2 linked regions of the Macaca mulatta genome follow. The protein of the gene in region 2 binds, or shares a complex with, the protein of the main gene of each other region. Links are inferred from orthologs where the notes say so. Each region holds a gene or a part of one and is shown on either strand. Other genes may lie near its edges. The genes, in order: ALKAL1 and LTK.

Region 1 (10,145 bases), on a different chromosome or scaffold from region 2:
GGCCGACAAATGCCCACTGGAGTCAACTGGAGTACAGGTGGGATCATGGGCAGGAAGAGGCGATGGAGGGCTGGAACACAGATGAAGCTGGCAGAGGATATCGGATTTTGCCCTGTGAGCTGTATTAACCATGAATTTTTATTTTCTGTATTTCCAATGCTTTGACATCTTGGGGACTTGCTGACCCTGGAGAGAATGCCCCTCCTAGGGTAGCTTTCCTAGAGAGAGTAAACTCACAGAGACAGGACACAGGTTTAGGTAGGAAAGGGTCAAGATCGAGATTCTGTAGCTGAGATAGTCAGCAGATAATTCATATATAAATTTAAAGGGGACAAGGTAAAGAAACAGTGCAAGCTCACCTTTCATTTACAAAGCAGCCAATGCAAAACCCACACCTTCACCACTTCGTCTACTGGGCTCTCTAACTCTGGGCCAACATTCCTCCACCCTAATCACTCCAGGGCCAGGTACCCGATGACTAGCAGCAGCCTTTAGTGCCAGAGCCCACTGAAATCATTCACACCAGCCAACCCTAAGCCCGCTTACCCTGCCATGCCTTGGCTTTCCTGGGGAAATCACAGTACAACCTCTTGCCCACTTTTTCCCCATTCCTCCTTCCTCATGACCCGCCCTGGTGCTTCCCCTGTGGCCTTGTGTGGTTCGCTGTGCTCCTGTCTTTAGGGACACATGAAGACAAACTTCTTCCTTTATGATAGTCATTTCCAGGCGTCTGTGTCTCACTATCTCTGATTAAAACAATTCCCAGGTATATTTTAAAACAAGCATGGTGGTCGATCCTGCATGGAATGGTGATCTAGTCATATATACTTTATATACGCTGGAAATGATGCAAAAATTGGCTACAAGAAAGCTTTTATCTCTCCTCCTAATCTTCCATAACAATTTTAAACTAACTTTTTCTAAATATAGCGTGTTGTTTCCTAGATGAGGCAATGAAATTCTTTATGCAGCAAGAGTTTTGCAGTATATTTCAAAATACCTTATTATGAATGTTTTTGAAATGTGTAATTACTACCTGATTACCATATGTTAAAGATTTTACCAAAGTAATGTAAAATATTGGATTAGACAGTAAAACAGAAAAAGCATTTATAAGAAATATTTTTCTTAAGAATGGAATATATGTGGGTTTAGAAGACTGGATGGATAAAACTCTCAACAGGAATGATACAGTAATACAACTGAACCAAAATTTAATTCATCAACAAACGAGATAAGCAGGTTTATTGCTCATTGTCCACATAACCTAACCTATGTGTTACATTTCCTTTCTTTCTTGTGAAGTATCTTTTATTTTTGCTATATCTATAAAGAATTCTTTAAGGTGTGGCTATTTTAACATTTCATCAATTAATACAGTAGTAATGAGAAATTATTTAAAGTAGTAATTAATTTTTATTCTTTTGACTTAAAGTTCAGAGTATGACCCCTGCCCTACTTTGTTTTTAAATCTATTAGAGACTTTATTTTCAAATCTGTTAGAAATCACAAAAGATAGTTATAAGAAAAAGTTACACAAACAGTATTCCAAACTCAATGTGTAACTTGTTGTTTTTCCTTTCTTAGCATCAGGCATATCTGCTGGCGATAGAAAATCTCCTATAAACAAATATAACCAAGCTCTGAAGCAGTCATGATGATATCCGTCTTTTCAGGTTCACCATGGCTGACGCCCGGGTGGTGCTTGGAGAGAGTAAGAAGCTGCCTGCCTGCAGCTCCTAGGCCAGGAGCCTGGTCAGGTGCTCCACATATCTCCCCTGTTGTTACATCTTCACGAGAAGCCTCATGATGGGGTCTTCCCTGTGGCGCAGACAAGGCACCTGGAACTCAGAGATCCACTCCTTCCCAATTCCACAGCAAGCCTGGAACCAGTGCTTTCTGTCTCATGGAAATGATCAATAGCCAATCTGATACTGTCGATAAACTTTTTACAAATCTATCAGCCAGAAATAATCACCTTTTGGGGTTTCAATTTTTTGGCGTTTTTGTTTTCCGGTTTTCTCACATGTAATCATTGCATAATAAAGATAAGACTTTTTTTAACAGTTGGCTTATATAATTTGCCTTATGTTTACAGAGAAAACAGAGCCTACCAAGTGTGAGTAGACACATACATAAGATGAGTAGTAATTACAGATTCTGTAGAAGTTAAGCAAAGTTGAAGACTCATATATTCAGATTGTAAAATATTAACAGAAGTATAAAATGTTGGCCGTGGTGGTAGCTCACGCCTGTAATTCTAGCACTCTGGAAGGCCAAGGACTGCAGATCATTTGAGGTCAGGAGTTTGAGACCAGCCTGTGCAATGTAGCAAAACCCATCTCTACTAAAAACACACAAAAAATTACTGGGTGTGGTGGCATGTGCCTGTAGTCCCAGCTACTTGTGAGGCTAAGTTGGGAGGTTGAGGCTGTAGTGAGCTGAGATCGAACCATTTCACTCCAGCCTGGGCAACCAGAGTGAGACTGTCTCAAAAAAAAAAAAAAGAAGAAGAAGAAGTATAAAATGTTCATAATGGGGCCTGATGCAGTGGCTCACTCCTGTAATCCCAGCACTTTGGGAGGCCGAGGCAGGTGGATCACTTGAGGTCAGGAGTTCAAGACAAGCCTGGCCAACATGGCAAAACCCTGTCTCTACTATATATATATATATAATGTATATATCTGCCTTTCTTTCCAAGGAAGCCAGGACCTTCTTGGAAAATCAAGAGAACTCACAGCAGATTTATGACTGGAAAGAGACCAGCCCCATGCTACTTATTAAGCACATTCATTTGTCATTGTCCAGCATAACCTCATCAAAACTCCTTCACATGCTCTCCTTAAGCTCCACATCAGCGAGGTTTTATATTAAAACAGCAACAGCAACCACAACAACACAAATCTGACCCCAGAAAGCCTGTAGAAATAAGGTAAACATGAAATACCTTGAAAAGGCAGCGGTAGCAAAGGAAACGTCACATACATCAATACTTGCTAACAGTCCCCTTACACTGCTACCTCTCACACCTCAAGCCAATTTCCTTTCTGTCAAAAACTCTGAACCTCCTCTCTACTCCCACCACGGCCCTGTTCTCAGCCTTCTGACTCTGTTTTTCTTTCAGTGGATGAGTGTTCTGATGTTTCTTTCCTTTGGCAGAGTTTGAGGTTTGGTCCCTTGTTTGTGCCATTCTGCTGGTGGCGCAGGGACCAAAGACAAAGGGAGGAGGGAAACAGGAATGAGAGAGCAGGAGTGAAGGTTACTGGGAATTCTTATCCCAACAGGACACACTGTCAGGGGCACTAATAGAATTGGAGATGATGTAGAAGGTCACCATAAAGCTCTCAAGAGGGTCTGAACTAGAGTGGTGGGAAGGACACTAAAAAGGAAGACCCAGATTCGAGAGACATCGGAGGCAGGAATTACGAACTGAATTGTGCTCCTCAAGCACAATTGTCAACAATGTTGCTCATCACAGCGACCACAGCTGTGTGTTAAATGGCTAAATGACGGGACGGATACATGCATGAACAAGTGGGCTGTGAGAAGGAAGGAGGACCAAGGACGGTGAATCAGGAGTGTTCCTGGGAACCTAACACATCTCCTCCAGTCCCCCACTCTCCACAATCCTCATAGCATGCTGTCTGGCCCCTCCTGCCTCAAGGTTTCCTAGTTACTACTCCCTCTCCCTGGAAATGATCCCCCCACCTCCAGCTCACATCTGCATTTAGGGAAGTTGCCAGGCCTACAGAAAAAGGCAGACAGCGCAACTGCAGGAGCAGCAAAGATTTCTGAACCTAGAACAGGTACATTAGGTCTGGGCGATGGTGCTTATTATGTCACTACAGAAATATGGAGCCATCATTCCAGGCACATCTGACAGGGATGAGAGTCCTTGACCTCCCGGACCTGCGAGACATTTTCCTCCTGAATGAACGATAACCCCTGCCACCTGCTGAGTGCGCCCCTTGAGAACATCCAGATAGGCCCTTGCCCTCTATATTCTCATGTCCTTGTTTGTCCCTGATCCATGTGCAAGTACTCCATTCACAGACTCAGATACAGATGTTATGAGCCACCCTTTTCTCCCCTTGTGAATGTAGTGTAGCAATCAAAAACTTACACAACTACAGTCACAGAAAGCAATGTCTTTGAGGGTGCCCACAGGGCACTTTCCGTCTGACTATATTGTTGTTTAAAACTTCAGATGGTTGCCACTTTTAACTTTTTTTTTTTTTTTTTTTTTTTTTTTTTTTTTTTTGAGACGGAGTCTCACTCTGTCGCCCAGGCTGGAGTGCAGTGACCGGATCTCAGCTCACTGCAAGCTCCGCCTCCCGGGTTCACGCCATTCTCCTGCCTCAGCCTCCCCAGTAGCTGGGACTACAGGCGCCCGCCACCTCGCCCGGCTAGTTTTTTGTATTTTTTAGTAGAGACGGGGTTTCACCGGGTTAGCCAGGATGGTCTCGATCTCCTGACCTTGTGATCCGCCCGTCTCGGCCTCCCAAAGTGCTGGGATTACAGGCTTGAGCCACCGCGCCCGGCCCACTTTTAACTTTTAATAAAATATTTTTGGCCAGGCACAGTGGCTCACGCCTGTAATTCCAGCACTTTGGGAGACCGAGGTGGGCAGATCACCTGAGGTCAGGAGTTTGAGACCAGCCTAGCGCAACATCGTGAAATCCCTTCTCTACTAAAACTACAAAAAAAGAAAAATAAAAATTAGCCGGGCGTGGTGGTGCACCTGTAATACTTGGGAGGCTGAGGCAGGAGAATGGTTTGAACCTGGGAGGCAGAGGTTGCAGTGAGCCCAGATCACACCACTGCACTCCAGCCTGGGTGACAAGAGCGAAACTCCATCTCAAAATAAATAAATAAATAAATAAATAAATAAATAAATAAATAAAATATTGTTTTATCCCTTGTAACTCACTTCGGTAAGTCTTCACTGTCTGAATCAAAGAGAAAAGATCTGTTGAATGAAACAGGTCTGAATGAATGTGTGCCCTCGACCTTTCTGTACTTTGAGAGCCTTTCTCCCAGATCTTTCACATTCCAAAGTCACATTTTATTCTCTGAGATAAATATTTCAGGCTAACAATAATTTTAAGTCGAAGTGCATGATCCGTGTGCACCATTGTTGCATGGCCGTGCTGCGGACACTGACCCTGTGCCTTCCCCCTCCTGAGGGCTCCCCAGTGGCCGGCTGGACTGAGAGGCTCTGCCGGGGTTGTCCACACACCAGCTGGGCAGCCCACCTCAGCTTCCCACCTTCTCCATCCCCTCCCCGGGGCAGGACACCCTGCTCACTCAGTGCAGGTGTGCACCAGCCCCTCCCTCCACACCCAAGTGTGCAGGAGAGCACAGACACTGCTGTCTGCTCCTCTGGGTGGCCTCCGCCCTCTGCATGGTGACAGACAGGAACTCGAAGAAAGTTTGTGGAGTGAATAAGTATATATTTATATCATAACTACTGTGGAAAAAAATGATACTAAGAAGCCGTTGTTTGCTTTCTTAGCCATGAAGCCTGAGGAGAAGGGATCAGGAGCTGTGCTCCCATGGCCAGCCACTGGCTGCGGGGCATCCCCAGGCCACCCTAGGCCCTCTCCTCTTCTCAAGCCTGATGGAGGCCACCAAATGTCCCTGCAGAGGGGCCCTTCTGTCCCAGTCTCGCCGGCAGCTTCACCTTGCTTTACTGTTGCTGGGTGTGAACAGAAACGTGTCAGGAGCTTCTCGCTTCTGTCCCCATCTTCCTTCCCTGCGTGTCCTGCCCTCCTCCCTTCAGCGCTGCCCAAATGCCCAGCCGCCCCCTCGGACCTCCTTTTCCAAGGCCTTTTCCGTTTTCCCTGCATTCACAAGAGCTCTTCTCTGCCCGTGGGTGTCTCATGACCCTCTAGAGCGTAACTTTTTCCTCTCTCATTCCTTCCACTCCCCTTGGGCACCTAAGTAGCAGGAACCCGACTTGTCCAAAGTTGATTTGGGAGCAGCCGGCTGCGTCTTGGGCCCTTCTAAAATGATCTAGGAAAGGTTCCAGTAACATAAGCTGCCGCCTGCTGAAACTGGCGCATCCTCAGCCACTCGCTGCGGCCAGCGTGAAGGGGAAGGGAACTGGGCATTCCTGGCACCGTCAGGTGTCTACGAACAGCAATCTTAGTTAATTCTCAAAACCCCGGAAAACCCAGAAATGAGGCGCTGACAGGGACCTAACCTGTCCACCACGCCTAGGCCGGTGGGACTGAAACCCATGTCTTTGGGCTGCTTTACCAGTTTATTTCCAAAAAGGCCTCCCACACCTGGGAGGGGACATAGAAGGCTGGTCCCATTGCCAGCCGGATTTCTTTACTTAACTCTCAACCGTGGTAAATCTAATACGCTTACGACCTCTTTCTGAGAGCTGGGAATCTGCAGAGATGCTCTGTTCTCTGCTGTACTAATCTCAAGCTTCCCAAAGCGAGTGCCTCACCCAGCTCCTAGGGGAATCCACGGAGCCCCAGGTGCAGGGCAAAGGATGGGGCGGGACGGGGACATCCTACCTGCGCTCCGGGAGCCGCTGGGAGTCCGGCCGGCCCCGGCCGCGGGGAGGAAAAGTAACGGCTTGGGCTCCTCATTCGTGACGTGCGCTCCCCTGCGCCCCCGCGGCCTCCCGTGGGCTCCGGGCGGGGACAAAGCCAGCGCCAGCAGGAGGAGTGCGGGCAGCGGGGCACCAGGCTTGAAGGGCCACATGTTCGCAAGCGGGCAGAAGAGAGTGGGAGGCTCGTGGAGGATCCTGACGCAGTTCCGGAGGGTGCGCAGCCCAAGAGATGGCCCCCTGGACCAGAGCGCGGCTACGCGGCCGGCCGCAGTCCTCACCGCGCGCCTGCCCTTGTCTGCGTCCCGGGGGTCGGCTGGAGCTGCACTGGGACTCGGCCCCCAGAGTGCCGAAGCCTAAGCGCTGCGGGGCGCGGGGCGGGAACGGGAGGCGGTGCCTGGGGCCACCCGGTCGTCCCCCAGGATGAGGGCGTGTCCCAGCGCGCGGGACCCTCGGAAGTCCGTGCAGCCTGCCCTGACGGACACCAATCTCGGACTCAGGGGTTCTCAGGGCTCCCTACGCAACGCCTGCCTTGGACCCGGACCCTAAGCTCGCTCTCTGGTCGGCATCCCTGGGAGGACCCAGAAAGGTACCCGCCGCGTCGCCCCGGCGGTTCTCCCTGGGCTCTGTCTCCCGCCACCCCCACTCCGCAAGCCTCGGCGCCCGTCACGGATTCCCCTAGTTGGCTGGGGTCAGTAGAACCCGCGGTGCCTAGGTCGGGACGGAAAAAAGCAGCGCCGAGATGCGGCCTGGATGAGCGGAGATCGCCGCGCCTTGGACGCAAAGGTGCCGGGTGCGCTCACCTGCCGAGCCCCTCCCTGCTCGCTCAGGAACCATGGCCACTCCGTCACGCCAGCCGCCCCTGCCCCAGCTCTGGAGGCCAGACCTGCCCTCCTGGGCGCAGCACCGCGTTCTCTTCCGCGTGGGGGAGAAGAGGGCGGAGGAGGTCTAGGGCTGGGCACCGGGGACACACGCCCAGCTTCCCTGGCCATCCTGCATGGAGTGGCTGGTTTCAGTTCTTCCCCAAGTGAAATCGCCAGGGTTGACCAGTGCGCCCAAGAAAGCAGCCGGCTGAATTTTTCTTCAAATTAGGGAACTCTTCTAAAGAGTTTTAGTGTTAACAACTTAAAAAATGAAATTAAGACCAGTCGTCCTGATTAAAATAAAGTGAGCATCTCTGATCAAACCGCGCTCTGTAAACTGCTGTTGTTTTAGTTATTTCAGCCGCCTGCTTTATTGCTTTATATTAAGCATATTGAAAAATGTTGAAATTGCTCTCTAATCAACTGACTACTAATTATCTCCTCATATGCAAAGTGCAAACAGGTGAACGGAAGAGAACAGGAATAACTAAGGAAACTGAGGCTCCATTACTCCTTAGACATTGACCAATGTTACATTACTCTACAAAAAAAAAAAAAAAATCTTGTCGGTCACAGATCCTGAAAAATGACCTCAACTCCTTCAAATCGTTTATCTAGGTTTGGCATGTCCGACATGCCCTAGAAATTGGGGAAACAAAGCAAGCTTTGCAGGAGCGCTGTGAAATCGTGCCTTTGGATGATGCTCTTTTGAGGAAGCTGTTACACGGGTGAAGACTGCTTCTTCCAATCGTTTCACTGTCAAGCTTGCATAGGAATATGGTATTTCCTAAGCAAACACAGCGGTGTAACAGAATGGCTTCCACCACCGAAGACCCAGAAGAGTCTTCCTAGAAAAACAGGTTAAGAGTCTGAAGGCCCTACTTAGGTGGAATAAACGCTTTCTCACAGCTCTACTTAAGCGAAATAAGAAAACATTAGAAGTTCACAGACATTGACAGGCAGTTCAAAAATAATTTTATTGGAAAATAAAAAAATAGGGACTAGTCTGGAAAACGATGGGGAAATGCAGTATGAAATAATGCTGGAGAAGAAGTGATACTGAAACCATGACAAATGGATTTTTTAATCAACCATCTATCAGGAGCAAATGACAGCAAAACCTGAAAGCTGAATTATTTCCCTCTTCCTATACGTTGAAAGCTAGAGGAAATAAACAAAGCAATGAAGTTTTCGAGACTGACAGCTTGGGGTCTACTTTCAGCGTCATTAGCCATAGGACCCTGAGCAAACCATTTAGTCTTCTCTCTAGCAAGGTTAGGAGGTTGAACTTCAGTGGTTCTCAGACTGTATATCATGTGAAAGAGAGGCTGTAAAAAAAATGCAGGTTCCCACACCCCTCGGGATGCAGTCCCCCAGAAGAATCCCGTAAATCTGCACCCAGAAGAATCCCGTAAATCCGCATTTTAAGGGACTCTGGGTAGTTCTGAAGCAAGTGGTCCTTTGAAACCCACCTTTATTCGTTCAACAAAAATGATGTGAATGCACACTGTGGAGCAGGCAGTGAAAACACAGCGGAGCCACCACAATGGGTAAAATACACGAAATCCTCATCTTTGTGGAGCATCTAGCTTCAGGGATCTAGTTTGCCAACACAATGCTTTTATTGTAAATAAACAGGTTGCCTATAGCTAAGTCACTCTTTGCTTTTGTTCTTTGTTCATTGCGTATCTTTGACTACTTTTCTAACTGCCCCAACTAAATGCTGCTTGCCCTGCCTCTTGCTAATTTGTTTAGAGGCAACTTGAAGTGTTCATGTCGACATGCCCTCAGTAACACTTGCTAATTTATTATTTAGTGTATAAGGAGGGGTTATCCGTGTAGAAACGGGTACTTAGTAACTAACGTTTAAAGTAATCCAAAGTTTTTTAAACTGTAACTGTTACAAGCTATTTTAAGCCTTGAAACTCAAGGCACTTATTTTCTTTACAACTTAGCTAATAAATTAAACAAGTGAAGTTTCTTTATTTAACACCAACAAACCCTATTAAACATTTCAAAATACAATCACATATTTAATATAATTGATTTTCTTAAACATTTTTAAAAACAGAAAAGTCACAAGTATTGAAAAAATCCATTGCTACATCTCCCCCAAAATATTGGTAATATTGATAATATAAACTTGAGGTTCTCTAGACAGAACTAACAGGATATATATATATATATATATAAACTTAATAAACTCCTACACATATATATAGGAGTTTATTAAGTATTAACTTACACAATCACAAGATCCCACAACAGGCTGTCTGCAAGTTTGAGCAACAAGGAGACCCAGTCCAAGTCTCAGAACTGAAGAACTTTGGAATCCGATGTCCGAGGGCAGGAAGCATCCAGTATGGGAGAAAGATGTAGGCTAGGAGGCTAGGCCAGTCTCACCTGTTCACATTTTTCTGCCTGCTTCATATTCGCTGGCAGCTGATTAGATGGCTCCCACTAGATTAAGGGTGGGTCTGCCTTCCCCAGCCCACTGACTCAAATGTTAATCTCTTTTGGCAACACCCTCATAGACACACCCAAGATCAATGTTTTATATACTTCAATCCAATCAAGTTGACACTCAGTATTAACCATCACAAGAATAAGATTATGACACAAACCCAGAGAGTCGATATACCCCTGAGGTAGGACAGTAAAGGTATATTGCTGGCCTTGCCAGATGAAGGAAAATTGCTTCTGGTGGGCCTTATGGA
Region 2 (9,495 bases):
GAACCAAGGTCCCAAGTGAAGGAATCAGTGATTGAGATTTGTTCAGCTTCTGCCTCATATCATGGAATGGGATGGGGGAGCTGGGCGCCTGTCATGCTCAAGACTTATTTACTACTCACAGCAACCCAGTAAGGATAGTTATTGCCTCATTTTGTAGATCCTTTTCTTACAGATGCACAGAGGCTTGTTTCTTGGGTCCTGGAATCTTTTGAGGCATTGGTAGTAATAAAAATTTGGGGGCTGGGTGTGGTAGCTCATACCTGTAATCCCAGCACTTTGAAGAGGCCGAAGTGGGTGGATCACCTGAGGTCAGGAGTTGGAGACCAGCCAGACCAATGTGGTGAAACCCTGTCTCTACTAAAAATACAAAAAAATTAGTTGGGCGTGGTGGTGTGCACCTGTAGTCTCAGCTACTCGGGAGGCTGAAACAAGAGAACCGCTTGAACCCTGGAGGTAGAGGTTGCAGTGAGGCGAGATCGCACCACTGCACTCCAGCCTAGGCGACAGAGCAAGACTCCATCTGGAAAAAAAAAAAAAAAAATTGGCCCTACTCTAGACCTACTTAGAATTTCCCTGCGGTAGGCCTGATAATCTGCAATTTTTAACAAGGGTGACCATCAGGTAATTCCGATGCTCACAACAGTTCAAACACCTCGACAGAGCATTTTCGTAACTTGCCCACGCGTTCTTCAGTGGCAGAGCTGGAGCGCAAACCGGGGGCTTCAGATGCTAAGTCCAGGCTCTTGACAGCTCATTGGAGACGCTGGAATCACCTTCACTGCGCCTGTATCAGCGCCCGCCACACAGGCGCACAATAAACCTTCCCAGAGTGAATGAATGAATGAATGACTCATCCAGCCCCAGCTGCTTCCGGTGGGTCGGGGGCGTGGTGAGACCCTGTTTCAGTGGGGGGAGGGCTATGCATTGCTGAGACACCGATTTGCAGACTTTGACCCTGTCGCTTTCAGAAAAGCCACTGGCAGAAGATCCGAACCATGGTCAATCTGCCGGTCATAAGCCCTTTCAAGAAGCGCTACGCCTGGGTGCAGCTGGCAGGGCACACAGGTGAGCCGCGGGGCGGGTGGGCAGGTGCCCGCGACGGGAAGGGGCTGAGCGGCGCTGACGGATGCAGGTCCACAGGGAGTTTTAAGGCGGCGGGCACCAGCGGGCTGATCCTGAAGCGCTGCTCGGAGCCGGAGCGCTACTGCCTGGCGAGGCTGATGGCTGACGCGCTGCGCGGCTGCGTGCCTGCCTTCCACGGCGTGGTGGAGCATGACGGCGAAAGCTACCTGCAGCTGCAGGACCTACTAGATGGCTTCGACGGGCCCTGTGTGCTCGACTGCAAAATGGGCGTCAGGTATGCGTGCCCTGCCAGGTTGGTTGGGGGATCAAGTGGGGGTCCGGGGCTGGGACAACTGCTTGAGGGGGTCCCGGGGCGAGAGCTCGAAGGGGTCTCCGTGTGCGCCCCCTTATGCCCTGGCCGCTGCCCGCGCCCGCATAGGACTTACCTAGAGGAGGAGCTGACCAAGGCCCGTGAGCGGCCCAAGCTACGGAAGGACATGTACAAGAAGATGCTGGCGGTGGACCCTGAAGCGCCCACTGAGGAGGAGCACGCGCAGCGCGCAGTCACCAAGCCACGCTACATGCAGTGGCGGGAAGGCATCAGCTCCAGCACCACGCTCGGCTTCCGCATCGAGGGCATCAAGGTGGGGCAGGCGCGCTTCGACTGGCACCGCCCCAGCCCCACTGCGCCCTGTCTTTCCCGATCTGTCGGTGCCCACCTCCTCCGCTCCCGCCCTGCCTGCCCCTCCGCCCTCTCCCACCGCCTCGCAGTCCCCTGCAACTGGGAGGTACCACTGCCCTAGGCTGTCCTCTTCCCCACTGGCGGGCCTGGGGCCCCTGACACTCCTGTCCCACCTCCAGAAAGCGGACGGTTCCTGCAGCACCGACTTCAAGACTACGCGAAGCCGGGAGCAGGTGCTTCGCGTCTTTGAAGAGTTTGTGCAAGGAGACGAGGAAGTGCTGGTGAGAGCGGGATCTCAACCCTGAGGTGTTAGGGAGCCTGAAACTAGGGACTGCCCCTGTCATCTGGCCCAGTGCCCTCAGCTGTGTCCCCACCGTGGCCTTCACCACACTGGGTCGCAACTGCTCTAGGCTCCTTCCCTTCTGGGCCACGCCGGGCGGCGTCCTGGGTCTTCCTCACAGCGGCATTTGCCAAGCCCAGCCTGGGTCCCGGCTCCTTATCGTTAGCAGGGGCTCACTTGGCGTTTAATTAACTTGCCCTCCTCTCCCACCCACCCTCTGCAGAGGCGGTATCTGAACCGCCTGCAGCAGATCCGGGACACCCTGGAGGTCTCTGAGTTCTTCAGGAGGCACGAGGTAAGCCGTGGCCGCCTGGGTGCCTGGCCGCGAGGGCTAGGGCGGGAACCCGGCGGGGGCGTCTCTGGGCAGGGCCGCGGCCTGACCATGCGGGGCTCGCAGGTGATCGGCAGCTCGCTCCTCTTTGTGCACGATCACTGCCATCGCGCCGGCGTGTGGCTCATCGACTTCGGCAAGACCACGCCCCTCCCCGATGGCCAGATCCTGGACCACCGGCGGCCCTGGGAGGAGGGCAATCGCGAGGACGGCTATTTGCTGGGGCTGGACAATCTCATTGGCATCCTGGCCAGCCTGGCTGAGAGATGAGGCTGGACTCCTGTCCCCGTGGGCCGCCGCCCTGACATGTGGACCTGCAGCTTTGTCCCCACCGTGCATGCCGGCTTGAGACTGGAGCCCCGCGGTGCAGGGCAGTTCACCGGGTCCGGCAGGGCCAGGTGCCAACCACTAAGGGGGGGCACTGCCAATGCCAGGGGTTTCGCCCACCCCGGGCCCCAGCGTTCCCAGAGCCAAATGACACTAACTTATAGGAGGGGAGGGGGCAAAGGGCTTCTTCCTCAGGCCAGCTTTTCTGAGGAGGCTCTGCTCTCTCCAGAGGGGCCAGACCGTGGATTTTATTTAGCAAGCCTAGACCTTCTGGTCTAACCTCTTACACTAGGTTGGACTCCCCTTCCTAATAAAACTCAAAGACAAGATGCAGCTTCCTGTGCCTCAGCCCTCCGCCCCTCCCTCCTCTGGTGCCCTCTTCCTGTATCCCTGGCATCCACTCAGATCGCTGGAAGATGAGAAGCGCTTTTTATTAGAAGCATCTGCAGGGTGGGGTTCTGCCCAGATGAAGGATGCTCATAGTAGGAGGGCAATCCAGTGCTCCCCATGGACACCTGGGGTGTGTGTAAGGTGGCCTCTGGCCCAAAGATCAAAAGCTGGAAGTGGCTGGGCCTTTCCCTGGGAGGCCTGGGCTGGTTTCCGGCATGGCAAGTGCAGTGCTGCCAGGCCAGCTCCGAGACAGGCCCAGATACAGAGCACAGACTGCAGGGAACAGGGGCCGCTGGCATAACAGGCCACCCAGGAGCCTGAGGAGTACAGGGAGGGACCCTCAGTGCCTCAGTCCTCACCCTCAGGGCTCCTTGGGGCTCAGGAGCGATAGGTGGGATTCCAGAGGTTCTGAGGTTGGAGGCCCCTGGATTTGAGGGGCTTGAGGCCAGAGGAAAGCCAGGGGCCAAGAGGGCTACCTCCCCAACTTTTCAACTTCCCTGGACTCAGTTCCTGGGGCTGTGGGGGTCTTAGGCACGCCAAAGATCTGTTCCCCAGCCCAGAAGCCCCTTCCTCCTCTGGGGTGGGCCCCAGCTCCATTGGCAGGGGTGAATTCAGCACATCAGGGTCCTGTAATGGAAGACTCGGGCAGCACCGGGCATAGAGTTTTCTGGCCCCGCCTCCTGACCCACAAGACCAGGATGTCAGATTAGGTCAGGGGCACACCTGAGTGCAGTACTGAAGACGCTCCAAGATGCTGGCAAAGCTGGGGCGGAGCTCAGGCTCGTGCTGCCAACACTGGGTCATGATGCGGTACCTGGGGAGAGGCAAGAGTTCATGCCCACCCATGGCTGTGAAGGACCTCCCTTCCCAGGCAGCACTCAACTCACACAGGCCCGGGGCAGCCCCTAGGAGGGTCCATCCGGCCCCCTGCAACCACGAAGTCCAGCACCTCCTGGTTGGTGCGCCCAGGATAGGGCATGTAGCCCAGTGAGAAGATCTCCCAGAGAAGCACCCCAAAAGACCTGCATCACAAGTGGGGGAACCAAGTGAGACGCGTCAGGTGCAGCCTCCCCTCACATGAGGTGGCTGGAAAGGACAGGATGAGCCTCAGGGGAGGGGAACAGAGGAGAAGGGGAAGGGTATTATCACCAGGAATCTGTCTTGGATGTGAAGATGCCCTCCAGGAAGGCCTCTGGGGGCATCCACTTGACTGGGAGCAAGGCCCGGTCCCCCCTGCGGTAATAACTGGCCCTACAGGAGGGAGGAGGTGAATGATGAGTTGTTTACCACCAAGGTGCAGGCAAAACCCCCTTGGAGCAAGAGCCTTCCCACCTCCCCAAGTTCCGCACCGGTAGATATCTCGTGCCATCCCGAAGTCCCCAATCTTGGCCACACGGCTGGGCCCAGTGCAGCTCAGCAGGCAGTTCCGCGCAGCAATATCCCTACAGAGTAGGCAAAAAAATCACTGCCAGAATTCAGAAGTTCTTGCTCTTCCTGATCTATTTCCTTAAAAGCTGTGTGGAAGGGCTGTTCCTTGGGGAGGGAGTGGGGATGGGGGTCCCCTGAGCCAGGACTGCTCCTAACCTGTGGATGAAGTGATTTTCCTCCAGGTAGTGGCAGCCCTGGGCTATGTCCTGGGCCAGTTGCAGCAGATCCCGCATGACCAGAGGTGATGGCTGGTCCTGGGTCAGGCAGAGGGACATCAGTCCATGCAGGTCTCAGACACATGGACAGGGTCTTTAGAGGGGCCTGGGGGGCTGAGACAAGGGTCTCACCAGGTGTGGACGACTGTGCCTCAGGAAACTCTTCATGTCCCCTCCAGACATCAGTTCCAGCAGAATGAGGCGAGGGGCGGCCCTGAGGCTGAGCCCCACACACCGCACAATGTTCTGATGGCTAAACTTGCTGAGTGGGGTGGTGGACATACCCCGTCACCAGCAGGGAGATGGAAACTATGTTCTAGGCTCCACAAAGCTGGAAAGGCCCTCTGTGTCCCCTGACTTGCTACCTCAGCCTCAGGGTGAAGAGAAGCTGCTCCTGAGCCTTCCCTTCCCGCCTTCCAGCCCTGCCCCTGGTCCCGCATGCACCTGATGATGAGTGCCTCCATGAGGAAATCCAGCTCATCCTGAGGAGAGCAGAGTTCTGGCAGGGTCTGGGGAGGAAAAGGGCACAGTTTCTGAGTTGCCCTGGACACAACGGGAGGGGGGTTAACCCTAGCTGTAGTCATTGTCCTTCCCTTCAGGGTGTTCCACTCTTCTACCCCCAGCCAGAAGTCCCAATCCTCTCACCTTGATAGCCACCTGCAGGGGACTGGAGTCCCCAGGAAGGCCAGTTACCAGTCCCTCATACACCTCCCCAAAGGCACCATGGCCCAGGGCTCTGCAGGAAGACAGGTTGGAAGGGAGTGGGCAGGCAGCCTGGAGAAGAGCCCTAGAGAGTCTAGTATCCCCTTTACCTCCCCTGCCCCTGCCATATGCCCAGCTGACCCTATACAGACTCTCTCCATACCATGGCATGTCCCCAAGTAGAAGCCCTGCAAGGGTGATGCTGACTGGCATAGAGCCAGGGCAAAAGAGAGGGCAGGTGCGGGTCAGAGTCAAGGTGAGAGTGCATGATGAGGACTTCCCTGGTGTCCCTGCAGATGCCCTGGGAGGGAGGCGATCCCTGGGCTCCAAGAGTCATATTCTCTCTCTTTTTTTTTTTTTAAGACAAAGTCTCGCTCTGTCACCCAGGCTGTAGTGCAATGGTGCAATTTTGGGTCACTACAACATCTGCCTCCCGGGTTCAAGTGATTCTCCTGCCTCAGCCTCCCGAGTAGCTGGGATTACAGGCACGTGCCACCACGCCTGGCTAATTTTTGTGTTTTTAGTGGAGACAGGGTTTCACTATGTTGGCCAGGCTGATCTCGAACTCATGACCTCAGGTGATCCGCCTGCCTTGGCCTCCCAAAGTGCTGAGATTACAGGCGTGAGATCATATTTTTTTTTATTGAGACAGAGTCTCACTCTGTCACCCTGGCTGGAGTGCAATGGTGTGATCTCGGCTCACCACGGCTCACCACAACCTCCGCCTCCCGGGTTAAGGCGACTCTCTTGCCTCAGCCTCCCACGTAGCTGGGATTATAGGCATGCACCACCCCGCCCAGATAATTTTGTATTTTTAGTAGAGATGGGGTTTCTCCATGTTGGTCAGGCTGGTCTCAAACCCCCGACCTCACGTGACCTGCCCGCCTCGACCTCCCAAAGTGCTGGGATTATAGGCGTGAGCCACCACGCCCAGCTGCGAGATCATATTCTAAGAACTGGGACGGAGAGGTGACTTTGAGCAAGTTCCTGGCCCTTCTGGAGCTTCTCCCGGCCTCCCTCTCCCGTACGCAAGGGATGTGGGCCAGATTGTTTCTGGGATTTGTAATTCACTACAGCAGGGAGAGAATCAGAGGTGGGGATTCAGACTGCACAGGTTCTCAGGAGGAGGCAGAAGACTCACCTGAGCAGAGTAACATTGGCTGGGGAAACCTCGGTGACACCTGGGGGCAGAGGCCAGGACTGGGCCGGGCCAAGCCCCACCTGGCAATAATAGGGATTGGGGGCCGTCCTGATGGCAGAGGTTCGAAGCTTGCTCAGCTCAAGCTCAGGGCTCGGCAGCCTCGTCTCCCGCAGGCCCTGCCACTTCTTCTGCTTCACTGGGGGTGGGGAGAATAACGGCACACCCTCCGCCTGCCCATCAGGTCTCCCTCCCCCACCTGCCCAGGACACCCCTCCAGGTGCTCCTTCTGGTAAACGTTTTCCCCAGGCCTCCCCAGCTCCCTCCTATCTTAGAGTCCCACAGGAGTCTACCACTGCTCTGCTGCGGTGAGTGGTCGTGAAGCCCACCCCAGCTCATTGGAGAGGAGCAGCCTTGAATCAGCTGTGCCTGCTAGATGCTTCGTACCCAGAATCAGGACCCCACACACCATAAAGAGGCTCAGTGTTGAGGTTGCCACCACAGCCACCATCAGAACCAGAGGGCCTGGGGGGTTGGGCAGGTCTAGGGAGAAAGAGAGACACCTCCAGTGGGAAGGTCTTCTCTGTTCCTCTACCCTCAAGTTTTACCCACGCTTCAAGACTCAGCTCAAGTGTTAATTTTTCCATGAAGCCTTCCCCCATTATCCTGGGCAAAAGCAACCTCTCCCTCTTGAACACCCCTAAGGCACTTTATACCTCCCACAACAATCGTCACTTGAGATATACATTTACATAGCTATATCTAAACAGCCTCCCACACTGGACGACATGCCTCTGAAAGGCACTGTGCACCCATGAATCTCCAGTCCCCTGCCCAGCACCCACCACAGGGCCTGGCACGCAGCAAATCTCTATACCATCTTTCCCAGTGGCCTACTGCTCCTCCCAGTCTGTGACCCCAGGAGTCCAGACCTTGGGCAAAGGTAGGACATACCCATGCAGGTGACGTTATCCACAGCTAGCTCCATGCCTTCTGGGCACAGGCACTCAGCCAACTGGAGCTCTGCCTGCCATTGGCAGTCTTTCAAAGGGCAGTGACTGCAGTTGAGGTGCCTTCGGATTTCTACCTCTCCGTGGTTCTCGGTGACTGTGAGTAAAAGAACTGATATGGTATGGTGTGGTGGGGCTGGGGCTGGGATATATTAAATACATGCCTTTGGCTGGGTATGGTGGCACACGCCTACAATCACTGCACTTTGGGAGGCCGAGGTGGGCGAATCACCAGAGGTCAGGAGTTCAAGACCAGCCTGGCCAACCCCGCCTCTGCTAAAAATACAAAAATTAGCCGGGTGTGGTGGCGCATGCCTGCAATCCCAGCTACTCCAGAGATTGAGGCTGCAGAATCACTTGAACCTGGGAGGCGGAGGTTGCAGTGACCCAAGCTCGCACCACTGCACTTCAGCCTGGGTGATAGAGTAAGACTCTGTCTCAAAAATAAAAATAAATAAATAAATAAATAAATACATGCCTTTTCCAGCCACATGGTTAATTCTTGTCCAGGACTTTAGAGCAAAGAGCAGCACCAAGCTTACAAGGGCGGTGAGAGAAGCTGGGGGACTTCTGTCAAGCCTGCACACTCCCAGGTATTTGAAGTGAATTCATAGCAAGGGGGTACTTGACAAGCACGCAGCATGCCCTGCATTGGCATCCAGCACAACTGACAGCCCACTTTTCTTTTTTTTAAGACAGAGTTTTGCTCTTATCGCCCAGGCTGGAGTGCAATGGCACGATGACAGCCCACTTTTCTTTCTTTTTTCTTTTTTTTTTTTTTTTGAGATGGAGTCTCGCTCTGTCGCCCAGGCTGGAGTGCAGTGGCTGGATCTCAGCTCACTGCAAGCTCCGCCTCCTGGGTTCACACCATTCTCCTGTCTCAGCCTCCTGAGTAGCTGGGACTACAGGCGCCCGCCACCTCGCCCGGCTAGTTTTTTTTGTATTTTTTAGTAGAGACGGGGTTTCACCGTGTTAGCCAGGATGGTCTCGATCTCCTGACCTCATGATCCGCCCGTCTCGGCCTCCCAAAGTGCTGGGATTACAGGCTTGCGCCACCGCGCCCGGCCGACAGCCCACTTTTCAAATGACCCTGTGCTATGCAAGAATCCTGTGCTATGAAAGGTTATTCACGGTGCAGATGGCTCTTCAGTGCAGTGCAGGAGTGGGTTCAGGGATTGAGGAAGAAGTCCAGGCCAGGCTGAGAGGTGGGGTTGGGGCCAATACCTGCCAGAGGCTGCAGATAGAGCTCGCTGCTGGGGTGTATGAAGGATACTCCATCTTCCCCATCAGCCCAGAGGTTGTCAGTCTCTGAAGCATCACCCCCTGGAAGTGGAGAGTGATGGAGGGTTTGACTGCAAAAATGGGGGATGGGGGAGAAGCTGGAATCTCCCAGTGGAAATCCCAGTGTGGCCTTCTCTTCTCCAGCATCATGATGCAAGTGCTGTCTGTTCACAAGTGGGAGTGAAGGAGGTGAGGAAGGGGTAATCAGCTGGAGACTGAAGGCCTAGCTCAGGCTGGCTGTGACGCTTGACGCCTCCTGCCTGCCTGAACCCCTCCTGTCCCATGTCCTCACAGTCCCTTTCTGTGGGAATATAGATGATGTGCGTACGTATGAACAGAACAGCCCGGACAGGCACAAAGGCATTTACACTAGTCATTTCCAGACTTGAGGACTGATCAAAACACAGATGACTGGGACTATCCCCTAGAGTTTCTGATTCAGTATGTTACAGAAGGGCTGAGAATTCACATTTCTTTTTAAAAATTAATTTTTAATGAAAAATAAAAATTCAGGGCCAGGTGCAGTGGCTCACGCCTGTAATCCCAGCACTTTGGGAGGCTGACAGGGGCGGATCATGAGGTCAGGAGA

Evidence for each region.
Region 1: the proteins of LTK (region 2) and ALKAL1 are in contact, whole or in part, in a crystal structure (PDB 7NX0), measured with the Homo sapiens proteins. The link is inferred for Macaca mulatta from reciprocal best matches to the Homo sapiens genes LTK and ALKAL1. Residues at the interface, in NP_002335.2 of Homo sapiens: Tyr124, His140, Phe143, Ala250, Ser251, Pro252, Glu253, Leu359, Phe360, Leu361, Gln362, Leu364, Ala365, Val366, Glu368, Glu372, Glu374, Arg376; in NP_997296.1 of Homo sapiens: His93, Arg96, Leu97, Asn100, Thr101, Arg102, Glu103, Arg112, Arg115, Leu116, Arg119, Leu120, Ser123.

Annotation. Positions count from the first base shown.
Region 1 is NC_133413.1:63,169,527-63,179,671, forward strand, and holds the start of ALKAL1 (ALK and LTK ligand 1 precursor), read right to left. Parts: upstream 6,721-10,145; coding exon 6,531-6,720; intron 1-6,530. UniProt on the Homo sapiens protein: Cytokine that acts as a physiological ligand for receptor tyrosine kinase LTK, leading to its activation. Monomeric ALKAL1 binds to LTK, leading to LTK homodimerization and activation.
Region 2 is NC_133412.1:18,860,083-18,869,577, forward strand, and holds the end of LTK (leukocyte tyrosine kinase receptor), read right to left. Parts: intron 8,949-9,495; coding exon 8,850-8,948; intron 7,723-8,849; coding exon 7,570-7,722; intron 7,159-7,569; coding exon 7,063-7,158; intron 6,815-7,062; coding exon 6,619-6,814; intron 5,512-6,618; coding exon 5,421-5,511; intron 5,285-5,420; coding exon 5,220-5,284; intron 5,038-5,219; coding exon 4,908-5,037; intron 4,815-4,907; coding exon 4,717-4,814; intron 4,575-4,716; coding exon 4,482-4,574; intron 4,384-4,481; coding exon 4,282-4,383; intron 4,155-4,281; coding exon 4,020-4,154; intron 3,947-4,019; coding exon 3,856-3,946; intron 3,760-3,855; coding exon 3,511-3,759; 3' UTR 3,153-3,510; downstream 1-3,152. Other genes in the region: ITPKA (inositol-trisphosphate 3-kinase A), read left to right, coding at 969-1,065, 1,141-1,357, 1,502-1,706, 1,924-2,025, 2,308-2,379, 2,482-2,685. UniProt on the Homo sapiens protein: Receptor with a tyrosine-protein kinase activity. Following activation by ALKAL1 or ALKAL2 ligands at the cell surface, transduces an extracellular signal into an intracellular response.